Arabidopsis thaliana: one gene and its partners. The protein of the gene in region 2 purifies or fractionates together with the protein of the main gene of each other region. This does not show direct contact. Each region holds a gene or a part of one and is shown on either strand. Other genes may lie near its edges.

Region 1 (4,322 bases), on a different chromosome or scaffold from region 2:
TCCAATTCAGAGGTCTATCCAAAGGGTTACATACCCTCACAACAGGCAATCTCACAATGTCAAATCTCCCTGCCCCTGATTCTTCCCATTTAAGGACCTTACCTCCTATAACATAGAGTTCATTCCTTAGAGCTGCAAACCCATAACCGAAGGCTTCTAACTCTCTCGGATGATTAGGAAGAACAACAGAAGGAACTGAACCAACATTGTACCATTCCCCTTCATCTGTATCCCTAGTCTTGATCAAGCTTTCTCCCCAATCTACAATAGTATACACCCGATCATTTTTCATCACCTGAACAGCAAACTGCATGGCTCTAGAGAAAGGCCAGACATCCTCCACAGTGGACCAAGTCATGTCTCGTGGATTAAAAACTTCAGATGAATTTTGCTCTGCAAATCCCACCTGGTCACTTAAAACATGAAAGCAGCCTCTGTACGATAACCCCGAGCAGTCCATCTGTGGTCTAGGCATTGCTGGTAATTCCTCCCACCTGCAATACTACTATGTCATACTCCAGTTTGATAGCTTTTCAGGTGAAACATGAGAAAACTTTTAAAACTATATCTTGACCCATCATAGAAAAAAACAAAAAGAGTACATTGTGGGGTTAAATATGCCAGTTCTATCCTACACGAGAATATAAACCACATTAGTGTGGGAAAAAATACCTATCAGCGACAGGATCATAAACCTCAGCAGATGGGATTCCCCTGGAATGAGTTAAATTACGACCTCCAGCAACATAAACCTTGCCAGAGACAGAAGTACAAGCAAAGTGAGTCCGTGGTGTTCGCATACTAGCAACCATTTTCCATTGTTTCTTAAACGGATCAAACCGCATGACATCTTTAGTGACAACAGGCTTCTGATGAGGAAACGATGACACCGAAGGCGCATAACAACCCCCAATCACAAGAAGACAATTGGAAACACAAACACACGCAAAACCAGAATGATGCCAACCATCTTGAACAGCTCTAGTTCTAGGCAATGGATGCCATCGATCAGCTTCAGGATCATAAGCAACCCACTGATTCTTAGAACGTTCCGTCAACACAAACAACCAGCTCCCTGACCATCCATTTCTAGCTTTATAGCACGAGTAATCAGCACCACGAACTAAATCTCTCCAGCCTCTGGAAACACATTCGAGCACTCCATGATACCCATGAGAAAGCTTCGCTATGCATCTCAAAGCCAAATCATCAGGCAAACCTGGGATTATAGACTGCTCGATTGATTCCCTGAAAACAAGTTTCAGCCACTAACGATCAGACTTATTCAATCAATAATCAACATTCAATGTTTTAAGACAAAACATGATTTTGAAGAGAAAAGGTAAAGGATTGAGATTTAGATTCAACTTTGTGAAGGAAGAACAAGAGAGCTAACACTTACATGAACCGAATCGTACTCGAGAGATTGTAAATGTATCTTCTGATCCCCTTCTCGAACTTGCTTTAGAACACCAAAATCGCGCTTCAAAGTTTATCACTTTCCCGGAAACAAAAACACCATTAACGATAATCGAAACGGAAACTGCAATCAGAACGATATAGTTATGATGGAACTAAGCACAGTCAGAGAGAAACTCAGGATTCTGGCAAGGAAGAGAGGAGACGGAAGAAACAGGCATGAGATGGATAGATCCATTATAATGGGTCGAAAATTTAAATATTCTTTATTGATCCCTTCATTTATATGTTCTTTCTGCTTCTTAACGCATACTTTCTTAAATAACTAATTTAACCCATAACTTTTCCAAGATAACAAGTTAAAACCGCGTCGTTTTATTTCAGCTTCGTCTTTATCTCATCTTTCTTGCGACGGGCCCTGCTACCCGGTGCGTGACAGGTTGAATCATTCTCCTCCGATTCACGGTGATTCCGGCGACTACAGACTCAACATTTAATAAGCCGATCTCTTACATGGTACGAGCTCGGACAAATTGAAGAATACAAAGGTCCGAGAAATAATTTGGTAAGCAATTCGATCCTTTAAACGATGTTATTTTTGTCAATCCGAGTCATTGATGAGGGATTATATCTGTTACTGAATCTCTCTGATCTTCCCCTGATAATGGACTTCATGATCCTGTAAATTTCAGATTTTGAGCCTTGTGCCTCAAAATTGTAGTCAAAGGCCGCGTTTTTGTCTCAATTTGTAGATCTTTGTTGTTGTTTCTGTTGGATCTTACGTATATATCCTTGATCATTTTAAAATTTCAATGGAAGTGATCCAGGCTTTGATTAGCTTTTAATTATATAGGAATAATGGCGTCTTCATCGGATTCATGGATGAGAGCATACAACGAGGCTTTAAAACTCTCTGAGGAGATTAATGGAATGATATCAGAAAGAAGTTCATCGGCTGTCACAGGGCCTGATGCTCAGCGTCGTGCTTCAGCTATACGAAGGAAGATCACCATTTTCGGTAACAAATTAGATAGTCTGCAGTCTCTTCTTGCTGAAATTCATGGAAAACCTATGTAAGCCATTTACTAGTCCAATCCTAATTGCTTAAATCTGTAAATTAGACACCTTTAAGGTTAGTGTTAATCTGAATTATTACTTACTGACACAGTTCAGAGAAAGAGATGAATCGGCGAAAGGATATGGTAGGGAATCTGAGGTCAAAAGCAAACCAGATGGCGAATGCTTTGAACATGTCAAACTTTGCCAATAGAGACAGCTTGCTCGGGCCAGATATCAAGCCGGATGATTCCATGAGCAGAGTTACTGGCATGGATAACCAAGGAATTGTTGGATATCAACGACAAGTTATGAGAGGTAAAACCTCTCTTATCCTAGTAAACGTAATACAGATGTTGATTTCTGTATTTGTTTTTTCCTATTGAATGTTTTATTTTCCTGTGAGTAGAACAAGACGAAGGACTTGAGCAATTGGAGGGAACAGTCATGAGCACAAAACACATTGCTCTGGCTGTTAGTGAAGAGCTTGACTTGCAGACTAGGCTTATTGTATGTCACTAGCTTTTCATTTTTTCGCCTTTGATTTGAATTTTCGGATACTAACACATTTGGATTTTCCTTTATGCAGGATGACTTAGATTACCATGTGGATGTTACTGACTCTCGCTTAAGGGTAATATATGCTTCAACTCTTAAATATTTCAACAAACTAATTACTTTGGTGAATCCCAAGCTTTAGTTGATCCATACTTTCATTAGGAGTAACACTGATGTAATGGTGATCTGTTTTCGGTTTGCTCAACCAAGAACCACATTATGCTTAAGCTAATGGCTAATTAAAGACATTGATCTGTTATCTTATTACAGAGAGTGCAGAAGAGCCTTGCTGTCATGAACAAGAATATGAGAAGTGGTTGCTCTTGCATGTCAATGCTCTTGTCAGTGCTGGGGATCGTCGGTCTTGCTGTTGTAATATGGATGTTGGTTAAGTATATGTAATACCAACATCAGACAACTTATAAGTTCCTCTGTAGGTCCACTGGCCTCTACTCTCTATGTGAATGGTTGCAATGTATTTCCTCATTCCACATTTGTGGCTGAGCTTTTCATTTCTCTTCTGTTACCAAAACCCTTTAAGTAATATATAATGTGTGCAGTTATCACAGTTTGCTCTTTGCTGTCTTCATAAAGATTTAAGAAGTGGTAGCAAGTCAAACACAGAGACAAAAAAACAAAAATTATCTGTAGAATCTTCCACGAAGAAACTTGTCTGAGTTTGTTATAAGAAGAACATTGTGGAAATTTTGTAAAACACCAATATTCATATCATCATCACTGGAAACAAAATTCGCAAAATACGTATCTGATCCTTCATTTTATACATGTGTACTGTTTCTTAATCTCTACATTTGTAAGAGGCAAAACAAGAGATAGTGTAATGCATGTTCCTTTTTTTATTTCGCCAAGAATTGTCAACGTAGGCCTACCTTTCTACGATCATATAAGTAATGGTCTCGTATTTAGAAGATGTCTTCTTTCGAAGGAAACTGCCGTCTGGCTGCGTGGCTACAAAGTCAGCACTCAGCAAGTTGATCTCTTTCTCAATGACAATGATGTATTATTTAAAGGTCCTTGGTGAGCAATTTGATTCTCTTTTAGAGATATATATGTTGCTGAATTGCTCCGATCTTCCTTTAATACATGTGCCAATACCATTATCGAAGTTGTTGCTTCTTGTAAGCTAGTTGGATTTTTGTTGTTCTTATTGTTGCATTTATATACATCCTTGGTAAAGTTAAAAGTTGTCTGAAAGTGATCTGTATTGGATTTTTGATTATGTAGGATTAATCAAAGTCAATGGCTTCTTTGTGTGATTCATGGATCAG
Region 2 (4,359 bases):
TGTGTCATTAACAATGTTCAGACTGACATGAATTTGAAAACAGAGAGCACAAAAGTGTTAAACCCCTTACTCCTAAAGTTAACGAATTGGTTAAGTTCTGATTAACTTAAAAGTTATACATATAAGAAGCTGTGTCCAAAAATAAATTCACAAAGTTTTAACTAATTAGATAAATACTAATCACATTTATCAAACAAGTAATCCATAAGAAGGTAAAACCCAAAATTAGTGATTCTAAACGCCAATTTCAACATATCTAATCGCAGCTGGTGATCGAAATTCTACAAATACGAGACGAGAACGATTAATCGGATATGAAGGAGTACTCACCGACATTGCTAAAAACCGATATAAACCGGATTGAAACGGAAGATTTTCTGAATTTGAAACGAAAACAGAAGAGAAAATGAAAATCCTAGTAAGGAAAAATCTTTGGCTGTGAGGAAAATACAAAGCGGATTCAATTTAAATACAATTCTCCGGTACGTGTAACCGTCGGGATTATGTTTTTTTTTTTTTGTCTCGCCGGCGACTTCAAGGAAGAAAAAGGTCGTGCTTAGCTATTTCTTTGTCGGGAAAGATTCTAATTAAATTTTAATCATATAGTACTTACGTTTAAAACAAAACAAAAGACGTGACATAATCACATTATCAACCACTATCTGTCGTCCACGTGTCCAAAACCGTTTCTGCTTTTCACATGTAGTAAAGTTTAATAACCTCATCATTGGAAATCTTGCGAAAAAAATGCTGATAAAGTAATTACATTAACACTTTCCATTAGGGCTGGGCAAAATATTCGATCGATCCGCTTCGATTCGGTATTCGATTTGATTTGATTCGAAAAATCCGAATTTCCGTAAGATTTTGGACCAAAGCAAATAGGAAAATGTAGTATTCGTAAAAACCGAATCAAATAGCAAATATTGTTTTTTAAAAAATCAAATATCCGCTTCGATCCGTATCTTTTGATATATATTAGAATATATAGTTATATCTATATATAGATATCATAAATAGTTTGTGTATTGTTGCTACCTTATGTTTTTATGTTAAGATGTTTGTTTGATATTTTTTTTTATGTTATGTTTTGATCAATGACATCAAAAACTATCGAGTTTTAGTTTTTGGAATTAGTTTGATAACATTTTTGTTGACCGGTGATAACAACAAAGGTTATATTTGGTATTTAGAACTTATTTTGAAAGCATGTTAAATAAAAACTTTGAATATCTGATATGGTTATATAGTTTATATATTTTTTTAAAATATTTATACGTATCAAAGCGGATATCCGCAAATATCACAAAAAAATCCGGATATTCGAAATTCCGGATATCCGGAAAGTTTCGAATCAAAGCAAATCATAAAATCAAGTATTCGGTTAAAACGAATCGAATAACAAATATCACAATTTTTCCGAATATTCGCTTCGTGCCCAGACCTACTTTTCATTATTAAACTTTCACCTAAAATAGTTAAACTAAGGGCACCGAACCAAATTGAACTGTTTAAACCGTAGTGGAATCTTATATAAACTGATTTGATTGTATCTGAACTAAACCAAACCAAATAAATGTTTTATTAAAACTTTACATTTTAACTATTTACACATATTGAGAAAAAATATAATCATATTAATATATAAACTAACTAAAAATTATTGTTTATTAACTAAAACTGAATCAAATCAAAAATAAAAACAAACTGACCCAAACCAAAATCTCAATAAACCAAACCAATTGTTTAATTTGGCAAGAAAAACAGAAACGAGGAGAGGTTACTAAATATATAGAAATAAAAGGATCAAAAAGGAAACAACTTTATCTCAGCTTTTTCTTCTCAATTAAAATCAGTTTGGGATTTTTTCGAAAACGCTTTTCAATCTTCGTCTATCTGTCTCCACGATCCACGCCTTGACCTTCGTTTTTTTTTTCTCAGAGATTAGAGAAAACTCCGATAACCAATTTCTCAATCTTTTTGTAGATCCAATTTTTCCAGGAAAAAAAGAGGTTTCGCGAAGAAGATGAGTTTTCAAGATTTAGAATCAGGAAGAGGAAGATCAACGAGGAAATTCAATGGTGGTCGACAAGATTCGACACAAGCCGTTGCTTCTGGAATATTCCAGATCAATACCGGAGTCTCCACGTTTCAGCGACTCGTTAACACACTTGGTACTCCCAAAGATACACCGGAGCTCCGGGAGAAGCTGTATGTTGAAATTGAAATCTAAATTTCATTTGATAAAAAAAATTGAATTTTTGATTTCAATTTTGATTGCTTTTTTTTTTTTGTGGATTCTGAATTTAGAAATTATTATTCGGATTTTGTTGTGATAGGCACAAGACAAGGTTGCATATTGGACAGCTTGTGAAGGATACTTCAGCTAAACTTAAAGAAGCTAGTGAAACTGATCATCAAAGCGGTGTCAATGTAAAGTGGAATCTTTTTCTTCTTGTTTGGTTTTTAAGCGACTCTTTGTTGTGTGTTTGATTGTTGTGTAATTGTGTAGCCAAGTAAGAAGATTGCAGATGCTAAGCTTGCAAGGGACTTTCAAGCTGTTTTAAAAGAGTTTCAGAAAGCTCAACAAACTGCTGCTGAAAGAGAAACCACTTATACTCCTTTCGTGCCTCAATCTGCTCTTCCCTCTAGGTAACGTGACTGATTGATTATATGTGGTTTCATGTATGTTAAGCTCGAATTCGAATTAGAAGTGTGATTATCATAAGCAAAAAGCATCACTTTGTGAATTGTTTGTGTGGTTTTGATAATCATGTTCCTTATTTTTCTTGTCTGACTCCGTATATAGCTATACGGCGGGTGAGGTGGATAAGGTACCGGAACAGCGGGCACAACTTCAGGAGTCGAAAAGGTAGGTGATATCGAAAAAATATTCTTTTACACATCTCTTATATGATGCAACTTATTTTCTCCTTTGCTTGATTGTTGATGCAACTTATTTTCTCCTTTGCTTGATTGTTGTAGACAAGAACTTGTATTGTTAGACAACGAGATTGCATTCAACGAGGCTGTGATTGAAGAAAGAGAGCAAGGAATACAAGAAATCCATCAGCAAATTGGTGAGGTTAACGAGATATTCAAAGATCTTGCGGTTCTGGTTAACGATCAAGGAGTCATGATAGGTAAAGACAATCTATTAAACTTAATTAGAACATGCCCTTGAAGCTGCAGTTAGAGAACTCACTTTTTTCTTTCTTGCAGATGATATTGGTACTCACATTGACAACTCCCGTGCTGCAACTTCACAAGGAAAATCTCAGCTTGTGCAAGCCGCGAAAACACAAAAATCAAACTCCTCTCTGGTAAAACACTCAAAAAAGTTTTCAGACAAAAACAGTGACTGAATGTTTTTTGGAAACCTTAGGCTAATGTGTTGATCTTGTTTACACGCAGACATGCTTGCTCTTGGTGATATTTGGCATTGTTCTCCTGATCGTGATTATAGTACTCGCAGCTTGATTTCGAACAGCAAGAACATTTCGTTTGTGTGTGTTCATTGATCTTAAGGCATCAATGACTGGAACTACTTGGTATATATTATATGTTGAAGAGAACACTTAGAAGTTGGTTTTGTGTTTGTTTGGGTTGGTTCAGTTCGGTTTGAGGTTCTATTGGTTAATGTAATAGTGTGTGCGTGTGTGGCTTTTTTGTTGTGCAAACATTTTGTTGGAGATGACAGAAACTCTGTTTTGTTTGTGATTCTCCTATGTTCTCCTAAATCTTTGTTGAGAGGAAACAAAAACTATTTGCTCAATGAGTGTCACAAAGAAGTTTGAAACCAAAAGCAGAGTCATGACTGCTTCAAGTTTTTACAAGATTCACCCTTTGAGCTCAAAACCGATGCCACGAGTATTGAAAATGCAGAAAAAACCGCAGCGGCGAATGTCAAGGCGGAAACATACTCTGTATGACCCCTGATTCCGGCAGGGATATCCCAGAAAACAGACCTGGTTTCAGTCTTCGATCTGCCAATCGACAAAACCAAACATCTCCTCCGTTCACGTCGCTGGTTTTGTACATGGCTCGAGCACAAGAACAAGTCTGGCTCGCCAAACTCCACTCTAGAGTATCCACTGTCGTCCAGAGGCTGTGGAGATAACAGAGAAGTAAAGATCCAATCTTATTGACATCGACCAAAATAAGACTTAGTTCAAGTGATCATTTACCTGATACCGAGCATGTAAAGGAAGCTTAAAGCTTATTTCACCATTTTCATAATTTCTAGAGCTGATTTCAACATGAATCTCAACGACGGATCTGTTCGATCTAAACGAAGGCAGCTCAAGATTTGTGTCACCAAACACAGATACGTCACTGAAAGCTGCAAAAAAGATTCAA
Region 3 (4,239 bases), on a different chromosome or scaffold from region 2:
AGAGTAACCGCGAGGGAAGGAACGGGGCACGCAGAGGGAAAGCGTTAGACCAGGAAATATTTACACTTTTGTTTTTTTTTGTAAGGAAAGTAAATAATCATGTTTTTTTTAATAAATATATAGTATTAATTTTGTTATGACTTTAATTGGACTGTAGAATTTTTAGTAAGCGTGATGTAGCCGTCTTTTCTTTTCTTCTTTTTCTGTAACGATATTTAAACCGTAAAGTCGACGCTTTTTATTTTTTTTGGTTCAACCAAACATTTTAGTATTTTGATCATATATGGATATAAATTCCATCCTTTTAGTTAGTAAACATGGTGTTGATAAAAACAAAATTTTATATTTGAAATGCTGCTATTATATAAATAAAAGGTTAAATCCACCTACTATAATTTATTTAGCTATTATTAGGTGGCATGACAAGATGTCAAGTTGGTGAATGAGGTGCGTCTGGCCTTAACTAGAGATGATACCCATATTTTATTTTCGGACGACAATTTATGACACTTGTTGTATCTTGTTCTCCTATCTTTCTTTTCTAATATTTACATTCGATTTATGATCAACAAATGGCTTCAATTGTAAAATGACAAGAATTTGTAGGGTCAACGACGTACAAGATCATTCAACTGCCGACTTCAGAAGTTGGTGTGGATATACGAGAGAGGAAGTCACATAAACAAAGAACATGAAGATTCAAAGAGTTGTATGAACATATCAGACAAAGCAAGCCTGTTCACTTTTCCACTATGTATGTAATTTATAGAACATGATGTCAACAAAGATTCACACACTTCGCAAAGCAATGAGCTTTTACATTGCTCTATAAATAAGTATACTTTTTCATATACGTGAGTTGGAAACATAAGCTTTTTAAGCCACATGAAAATGCTCAGGAAAACACAAGGTTTACAATCAGATGAGGAGATAAAAAGTCGTGGCAACGCGCAGAATCGGGATGGATTCCTTAAGAGACAGATGCACTTAAATGCAAGATGGTAGAGTAGGTCCGTGGCAGAGAAAGGCCACTGCAATGTATATGATCACCAGTAGTAGTAGTATTAAGAGGACCCTGCAAGAGACAAAAAGGGTTAGGAATTAGGAACTATGTTCGATTCTTAAAAAATTCTCACTTGACATTACAAATGTGGAACTTGGGGTGATTAAAGTACTTTTTGCTATAGTTAAATGTGTTCTTAGGCCAAAAACTAGTTTTAGTATACAGTCTTGCAATCATAATACTGAAAATTGTTTACTAAGGTTTTAGGAAACATACGTGAGCTTGCAGTTTCTCCACCAGACGTTGCTTCTAAAACGACGAGCTTGCTTTCTGAACCGGAATGTATTCCCCTGCATATTGGCGGTTTTATCGACAAGAAGCTCCAAACGTTCACCTCTATCTAGGACTTTGTCAATGTTTTCTATCATGACACCCCGCACCTATCCAAAACCAAAAAGAAAAACCAGGATGTATTGTCAAACAGTGAAGCCAAGACTCAGAACCATGTCTCTAAACAACTTCACAATCCGACTGAACTTGTAAGACAAACTCATCAAACCTGATTCATTTCACCCTTAATACGATTAATCCTATCGGCATTAGGATCATTAGAGTAATAGTCAATCTGCTGACTGAGAACTCTAGAGAATTCCTCATTCATTGCATAAGCTAGTGCTGTATGAACAGCCCTGCCATAAGTCCGTACGAATCTCTGGTGAATATCCTCCAAAAAGGCAAAAGGAATTCTCCCTGACATAAAAAAGTTTTGACTTTTGAGTTAGAAAGACATTCACATCTCTCTAATGCACAGCTTCTCGGATATAATTGTGTTGATGTTATGTCCAAAAAAATCAAATTCATTCACATCACAATATAAGACCAAAGGTCTCGAATTCAATAACAGAGCGATCGTTCAGAGCAAAAAAGGATTAGACTTTTGAATTCCACTGTCACCAAAGTTGGAAACTTCCTCAAAATTAGCCATAGAAGTAAAAGAAAGGGGAGGACGTACTTCCGGCGGTTTCTTCGGCCATACAGAGAACGGTGAGGCCATCGGTGCGTTTAACGTGGAAGACGTAACGATCCTGAGAGTAGGAGACGTTGCTGTCGTTGTCTCCAGGGACCTTCTCGAGGATCTGTTTGGCGATGGTGCTCGCATTCGTAGAGGTGGCGGTGAACTCAGAAAGAACCACCGTGCCACGAGCCACGAGGGCGTACAGAATCGCCATCTCCGTCGTCGATCCCCCTGCCGAATCAACAAAACTCGTGTAAGGTCAACGAAGAAGAAGGTTTTCCCGCGGAAACCGAGCCAGCCAGACGAATCGCTGGATCAATCAATCAGAGAGAGAGAGAGAGAGAGAGAGAACCAATTGGCTTCTTTTTCTCTCTGCATATAATTGAATCTCTTTCTCTCTCTCTCCTCTTGGAGTTTAGCTGGAGCTGGAGACCTTTTCGCCTCCGCTGATTACAAATATTTAATTTCGGATAGCTACGTTGATTTATTTTTAAAATACTGTATTATTATAAGGATCAAAATGAAATTTTGTCAAAATATCACGGGCAAAACTAAGTTAGTTCTTTTTGTTTTGTCGGAACTAATTTAGTTCTAATAAGTAAAAAATATAAATATGAAAAGAAAACAATTTGCTTCAGTTTCGAAAATATTGTACCGTGAATTGTTTTATAAGGATTATTAATGGTTAACGCTAAATTAGTTTGATATCAAACTTATAAGAAATACAAAGAAAACAAACAAATTCTATCAGTTTCAAACAAATAGAGAAATCTGAGCAAAAAGATCGAATAATTGTAATTTATCCGTGGAAGAAGATGTGATTTTAAAGTGTAAATTTTTACGAATATGAAGGATAAAATGTAGGGATGTGTTCAAATCATCATTAAATCAGTTTTTTTTTTTTTAGTGTGGTAGTGACGTACCAAACAAAACCAAAAAGCGGTCTATTTCCTTCTGGTTTGAAACGATTTGGGTCAAAATTGGGTTTCGAGTTTGAATAAGATATGAGTGAATAATATACTAACTTTAGCCAAAGACAAAAAAAAAAAAGGAAAATTAAAGGCAGAAAAATGAAAATGACATCCAATGAGCTGAGCCTAAACCAAACATAGCCAGAGATAAGCCTTACAAAATGTACAACAGATATAAAATCCCAATTCCCAACTCTAAACCAAGACGTGGTTCACGACCCAAACCGAATCTCACGGGAAAAAGTGGGACATATACACATATATACACGGTAAGCTTCGCGCCTCCGTCAAATCACGTGTTGTTTCTTCTCGGCTTTTCCGTTAAAGTAAACGTCACAACACCGCCGTTAATCACCGTGGTCTGTGGGAATTCAACCCAGAGGCAGAGAAGACCCTGAGAGACGCCATCTGGTCCTTCTTTTGCCTCCATCTGTGTCCTCTCTCTCTCTCCTCGATCTCACGACGATCTTCATAAACCCTACGCTCTGCTTACTCTTCCATCATCTTTTGCTCAGATTTCGTAATTTGTGGTTTCTCGATCGGGATATTAGTACTCGATCGTGTCTCCGATTGATTCTGATCGGAATATCAAATTCGGATTCCGGAGAGCTGGAGATAGAGAGAGACTTAGGTAAAGTTTGGTGGAGATGATGCAGAGACGGAGTCCGCCCAAGCACAGGCATGACGGAACATCGCCGCTTCCATTAGGAATGGATTGGAGTCCTCCACCGCGCAAATGGGTGAGTTCTTTTGTTGCCAAAAATTCGAACTTTATTGGACTTTACCACGTTACCTTTTGGAAGTGCCGTGCTAGAATTCTTCAGTTGCCTGCTTTATTCTAATGGGACTTGAGATAAATGTGGATGTCTTTGTTATTAGTCCCAAGCTATGGGGATAGCTAGTGTAGTTACCAGCAAGTCCAATGGTAGACTCACCACATAAGGCATTAGAAGTCATTTCCTACAATTGGTGAATTCTGTTGTTGCCCTCTATTGAATTGTTAGTTTATCTTTTGTTTAACATCAGGGGTAGCTAAATCTTTATTTATGCAGCTTTGGATAGCTCCAGACTATAAAGTATCATTCTACTCGATTGAATTCCATATATGTACAAGTTGGAGATTTTGAGATATTTATGTTTATTTCTGCAGAATGGTAGAGATACTGTTTGGCCTCATGACCCTCGAACTGGATGGAGTTATTGCGTTACAATACCCTCGTGGATTGTCCTTCCAAAATCAAGAAATTCAG
Region 4 (4,572 bases), on a different chromosome or scaffold from region 2:
CTAGCGTTTTTTTTTCTTAACATTTTGTAAGACAATTTTCATGTAATTTTCTTCTGCTAATTTTTTTTTAGTTTAAACTTTAAAGTTGAAATATTAATACATAATAACGTACGTTCAGTTCACAGACGTTCTTAAGGTTCTGCAAATAGCAGGATTACTATTAATGTTTCCCTATAATGTGTATACACATGATTTATCTGCAGTTGCGTCAAACAATCATAACTGAATTTGTATATATAAAAAGGCATGGGGGATCGATCTTCAAAACTGTGGATATGATTTCCTGAAATATAACTCTTACAAGTTTATGAAATAATCCATTTGATATAAATAAAAAAGTTCACTAAACGAACAAATAGATATAGAGACTTTAGAGCCTTTGACAAAAAGAATAAGAAGAAGAATTGGAATGCAAAGAAGAAAAAAGCAATAATGGAAACCGGTACGTAGGAGGAGGAGTGTGGCACGTGCGGTAGAAGAAGCAAAATCCTGAAAGGCCGTGGAGGAGAGCACGTGATGGTCCAACACCAAATCCACAATTCAAGGTCCCTCGTTTGACTTCACTCTCTCTTCTTGAGATTCGCCTCAAAATTTATCTTCTTCTCACTTTTTTCCCCAAACGAATTACATAAAACTATTAAAGATAAAAACGAATATGATATGAATGGTAACTTTTAATTTCCTAAATTCCATGTAAGATACACGAAACACATAAAAACATTGGATTCTCACGGTAAATAATCTCTTCGTAAAACAATTTATGAAACTTACAAGTTTCTGTTGGCCCAATATTATCTTATTGAGATGTGCCGTTGCCTTCACGAAGACGTCATGCATTAAACCCCTTATTAATGAGCGTTTAATCATATAGAGATACCAACATGTTCTGAAACTTATAATCTTATTTTAGAATCCCCATTATGGCTAATTAAGTGTACGTATAAAATTCAAAGTGATACGCAATTACCTTTAGTATACAATATATATATATGTGTTGTACACCGTTTGGTTCAGGTGAATTACTGAATCACCTGGCTATTTTATAACAAGGAGGGAAATTAAATACTACCATTTTTCGGGTATTTATTATATAAAACATTTTATGAAAATTTATATTAGCCAAACAATCTAAGAGATTTCATTTAAATTAATTACAAGTGTTCATTGTTGATGGATAAATTGCATATTGAGGATGAATACCAAAAAGGTAGGTAGATGCCAACTAGACCAATCTTGTGCACGGCGTCGTTTCATGAGTATATTAAATGGGCCTTAAAAGTATTACCCTTTTTATGACGACCCATTTAATTTAGGAAGCCCAAAGATGAATAAACCTATTATTATTGTTTATGTGTTTATACTTTTGAACCCATAATTTATTTCTGTTATGTCATCTCAACCCTAACTTTATATAATCAGTATTAAATCCAGGCATCTTCAACGAGCCGTCAACAAAGATAGGAAAACGTAGTCGTTTGATACAGCTGGTATAAAATCTGAATTCATTCTTCAAATAAATTAAAATCTTCGTTGGCGTTGTTGTTGGTTGCGTTACAGATTTTGGACTAATCATTATTTTCGTGCCTGCAAAGTCAGCACGACGATCGCGTTTCGATCTTCAAAGTAGAAGAAGACCCGCCACAATCACAAATCGCGGTGCATATAGTCTAAAGGGTAAGCTTTTCGATTCCTTTCACCATGTAAATTTAGGTCAATTCCGTCGCTTCTTTGATTTGGGGTGTTTTTCCTGGCGCGAAATCTTTCCGATTTTCCCTGATTATGAATTTATAAATAATGGGTATCGCAGATTTTGGGTCTCAGTGGCTGATTCTTTTCGACTCTAGTTTCTGCTTCCGCCGTCTCATTTTTTTTTCTACGCAACAGTAAAGTTTTTATTTTTCCACCTGAATTTTCGGATGATGGCCGAAGATTTTGTGTCTATGCTGATACCTAATTTTTCCATCTGAAATTGATTTTATTCACTGCTATTTTCATTTTGTTTTCATATCATTGTGACTCGCTACTAAAAGCTTCTAAATTTGTTGCCTTTTTGTGAAAAGCTCTTTACACGGTCTATGGTAATTGTGTTAAGATTCTTGTTCATCATGTACGAGATTTTCATTGGGTCACAAGAGTTTCGTTGTTGAAGCTACTAGTTTTTTTCATGATCAAATACTTCTTTGAGCTACTTGTGATTCTCTTTACATGATCTTTATGTAGAAGATAAGTATTGCTGTGTTTTAATTAGTTAGGTACTTGTTTTCAGGTCAATGGCCTCTTCTTCGGATCCATGGATGAGAGAGTACAATGAGGCTTTGAAACTCTCTGAGGATATTAATGGCATGATGTCTGAAAGGAATGCCTCCGGGTTAACCGGGCCTGATGCTCAACGTCGTGCCTCTGCAATTCGAAGAAAGATCACCATTTTGGGGACTCGATTAGACAGTCTGCAATCCCTTCTTGTCAAGGTTCCTGGCAAGCAGCATGTGTAAGCCATTCTGATTCTGGTTGCCTGTTCAAACTCCTCATGTTAGACAACGCTAAGTTTCATGTTGGTCTTGAACTATGTAATTATGGTTTATGTGTATGCAATTTGCTGATAAACAGTTCGGAGAAAGAGATGAATCGTCGCAAGGATATGGTTGGGAATTTGAGATCAAAAACAAATCAGGTGGCCTCTGCTTTGAATATGTCAAACTTTGCAAACAGAGACAGCTTGTTTGGAACAGATTTAAAGCCGGATGATGCGATAAATAGAGTCTCTGGCATGGACAACCAAGGAATTGTTGTATTTCAACGGCAAGTTATGAGAGGTAAGATGTGGTATGTAACACTGTTCTAGGACCATAGTAATGATCTTGGCGTCTGTATTAATTTCTCTTTGATTGTATTTTATTTCCATGAGTAGAACAAGACGAGGGACTTGAGAAGTTGGAGGAAACAGTCATGAGTACCAAACACATTGCTCTCGCTGTTAACGAGGAGCTCACCCTGCAGACAAGGCTTATTGTATGTCTCCGCTGTTGTTCATTGCTTTTCTTGTTGATTTTGATTTCTTATTCTAACGAAATGGGACTTTCTTCCATGCAGGATGACTTAGATTACGATGTGGATATCACTGACTCTCGCTTACGGGTAAGTATATGCTTCGAACAAATTAGTCTCATTAGTCACTAGCTTAAGCTGGTCCATTGATAAGCTAAAGAACAATAGGAAGGCAAGCAAGTGATTTTAACAATATACTGGTCTATTATGTCTAAGAATCTCTCGGTCGTTGCTTTTTTTTTTTATCATAAAAAGCAATAATTTTTTAGTTTAATGTGATTCACATCTCGTCTTGGATTTGATGTAGCCTGTTTGTGTTTCTTGATGATTGCAGCGTGTTCAAAAGAGCCTTGCCTTGATGAACAAGAGCATGAAAAGTGGTTGCTCATGCATGTCTATGCTCTTGTCTGTGCTTGGAATCGTTGGTCTTGCTCTTGTAATTTGGCTGCTGGTTAAGTACCTGTAATGCCAATGTGGTGGCAACTTGTGAAAGCTCATCCTTTTCTCTCAGCCTATCCTCTGTGCTTAATGGTTGTTTTCTATTCCTTCTATCGATTGATTCGTGTCTGTGAGGCAAAGAAGAATACCACTGCGTGTAAGAAACCCTCAGAAGTACATAATCTGTATTACCTTCGTATCAACCACGAATTGTAAACTAAGTTGACATTTGTCTATATATGGTATGGCTCCTACTTGGTTCAATAAAGAGAACTAGTGGCTTGGACAATGCAGAGACATAATGGTCAAGATGGCAATCATTTTTTTATAAAGTGACCATCAATTTTTTTATTGTGTGGAAAAATTGATCTCAGTCACATTCTGTAAGGTTAGCCACTTGGCCTTTTAGCTCTGTAGGCGCTGCTTATGATGGGGAGCATTGGCAATCACCTCCTTTGGGGTGATTTCATTGTTTGATTCCGGATTAGAATATGAATTAAACATCTCTAATTGTTTCAAAATCAATTTAACTAGAAATTTTTTCTTAACAAAAGTAATAGAAACTTTTTTGCTTTGTTGTATTTCACAACTCGAAATTGTTATAACCAAATAAATAGATTCATATTTTCTTAAAAAGACCTATAGGTTTGGGTCGAAGTTAAAGATTAAATAAAGTTTTCTGGTAACATTATTTCAATACTGTCAAATAAAAAGTTGTAAACAAAAGTCGCGCGTCATGATTCTCAATATATTGGTTCATTTGATGTTTATAAATTTTTAATGTTTTTGTATACGGAAAAATAACGTATTGTGACAAAAATAGCGTATACGAAATAACCAGGTTAATTGTTTATGGGCTTGTTATTTTATCATAAAAATTTAACCACAGATAAAACAGACATGGGCTCCATAAAATAGGCCCGAAAGACTTAACTTCTTTTTCTTCAAAGTGAAAATACCCATCACGCGCCCCAGTTTATTTATTTTAGCGAAAACAGCAATTTTCGTATAGTCCAGGGATTTCGGGGAGGTGGCGTCGACGCGCTCATTGTGAGAGTGGGTAAAAAACTTAGATTTCACAGCTGCACA

What was found.
Region 1: the proteins of VAM3 (region 2) and SYP51 purify together in Arabidopsis thaliana (affinity purification with western blotting; 2 studies listed by BioGRID, with this or other methods). This does not show direct contact.
Region 3: the proteins of VAM3 (region 2) and VAMP711 purify together in Arabidopsis thaliana (affinity purification with western blotting; one study listed by BioGRID). This does not show direct contact.
Region 4: the proteins of VAM3 (region 2) and SYP52 purify together in Arabidopsis thaliana (affinity purification with western blotting; 2 studies listed by BioGRID, with this or other methods). This does not show direct contact.

What each region holds. Positions count from the first base shown.
Region 1 is NC_003070.9:5,554,296-5,558,617, reverse strand, and holds SYP51 (syntaxin of plants 51), read left to right. Parts: upstream 1-1,773; 5' UTR 1,774-1,984; intron 1,985-2,003; exon of another isoform or gene 2,004-2,167; intron 2,168-2,257; exon of another isoform or gene 2,258-2,272; 5' UTR 2,273-2,277; coding exon 2,278-2,492; intron 2,493-2,587; coding exon 2,588-2,793; intron 2,794-2,884; coding exon 2,885-2,985; intron 2,986-3,064; coding exon 3,065-3,109; intron 3,110-3,303; coding exon 3,304-3,435; 3' UTR 3,436-3,775; downstream 3,776-4,322. Other genes in the region: AT1G16250 (Galactose oxidase/kelch repeat superfamily protein), read right to left, coding at 1-494, 673-1,248, 1,403-1,404; AT1G16230 (Target SNARE coiled-coil domain protein), read left to right, coding at 4,294-4,322. UniProt on the Arabidopsis thaliana protein: Vesicle trafficking protein that functions in the secretory pathway.
Region 2 is NC_003076.8:19,011,463-19,015,821, reverse strand, and holds VAM3 (Syntaxin/t-SNARE family protein), read left to right. Parts: upstream 1-1,711; 5' UTR 1,712-2,026; coding exon 2,027-2,211; intron 2,212-2,339; coding exon 2,340-2,433; intron 2,434-2,512; coding exon 2,513-2,652; intron 2,653-2,809; coding exon 2,810-2,872; intron 2,873-2,985; coding exon 2,986-3,143; intron 3,144-3,222; coding exon 3,223-3,323; intron 3,324-3,414; coding exon 3,415-3,480; 3' UTR 3,481-3,801; downstream 3,802-4,359. Other genes in the region: AT5G46870 (RNA-binding (RRM/RBD/RNP motifs) family protein), read right to left, coding at 331-336; AT5G46850 (phosphatidylinositol-glycan biosynthesis class X-like protein), read right to left, coding at 3,812-4,108, 4,188-4,342. UniProt on the Arabidopsis thaliana protein: May provide the t-SNARE function in the vacuolar assembly. Promotes the formation of vacuolar membrane 'bulbs'. Required for inflorescence stem gravitropism.
Region 3 is NC_003075.7:15,525,420-15,529,658, forward strand, and holds VAMP711 (vesicle-associated membrane protein 711), read right to left. Parts: upstream 2,508-4,239; 5' UTR 2,233-2,507; coding exon 2,016-2,232; intron 1,754-2,015; coding exon 1,563-1,753; intron 1,444-1,562; coding exon 1,280-1,443; intron 1,076-1,279; coding exon 988-1,075; 3' UTR 560-987; downstream 1-559. Other genes in the region: AT4G32160 (Phox (PX) domain-containing protein), read left to right, coding at 3,637-3,729, 4,140-4,239. UniProt on the Arabidopsis thaliana protein: Involved in the targeting and/or fusion of transport vesicles to their target membrane.
Region 4 is NC_003070.9:29,944,794-29,949,365, forward strand, and holds SYP52 (syntaxin of plants 52), read left to right. Parts: upstream 1-1,680; 5' UTR 1,681-1,794; coding exon 1,795-1,883; intron 1,884-2,266; coding exon 2,267-2,488; intron 2,489-2,607; coding exon 2,608-2,813; intron 2,814-2,908; coding exon 2,909-3,009; intron 3,010-3,090; coding exon 3,091-3,135; intron 3,136-3,379; coding exon 3,380-3,511; 3' UTR 3,512-4,014; downstream 4,015-4,572. UniProt on the Arabidopsis thaliana protein: Vesicle trafficking protein that functions in the secretory pathway.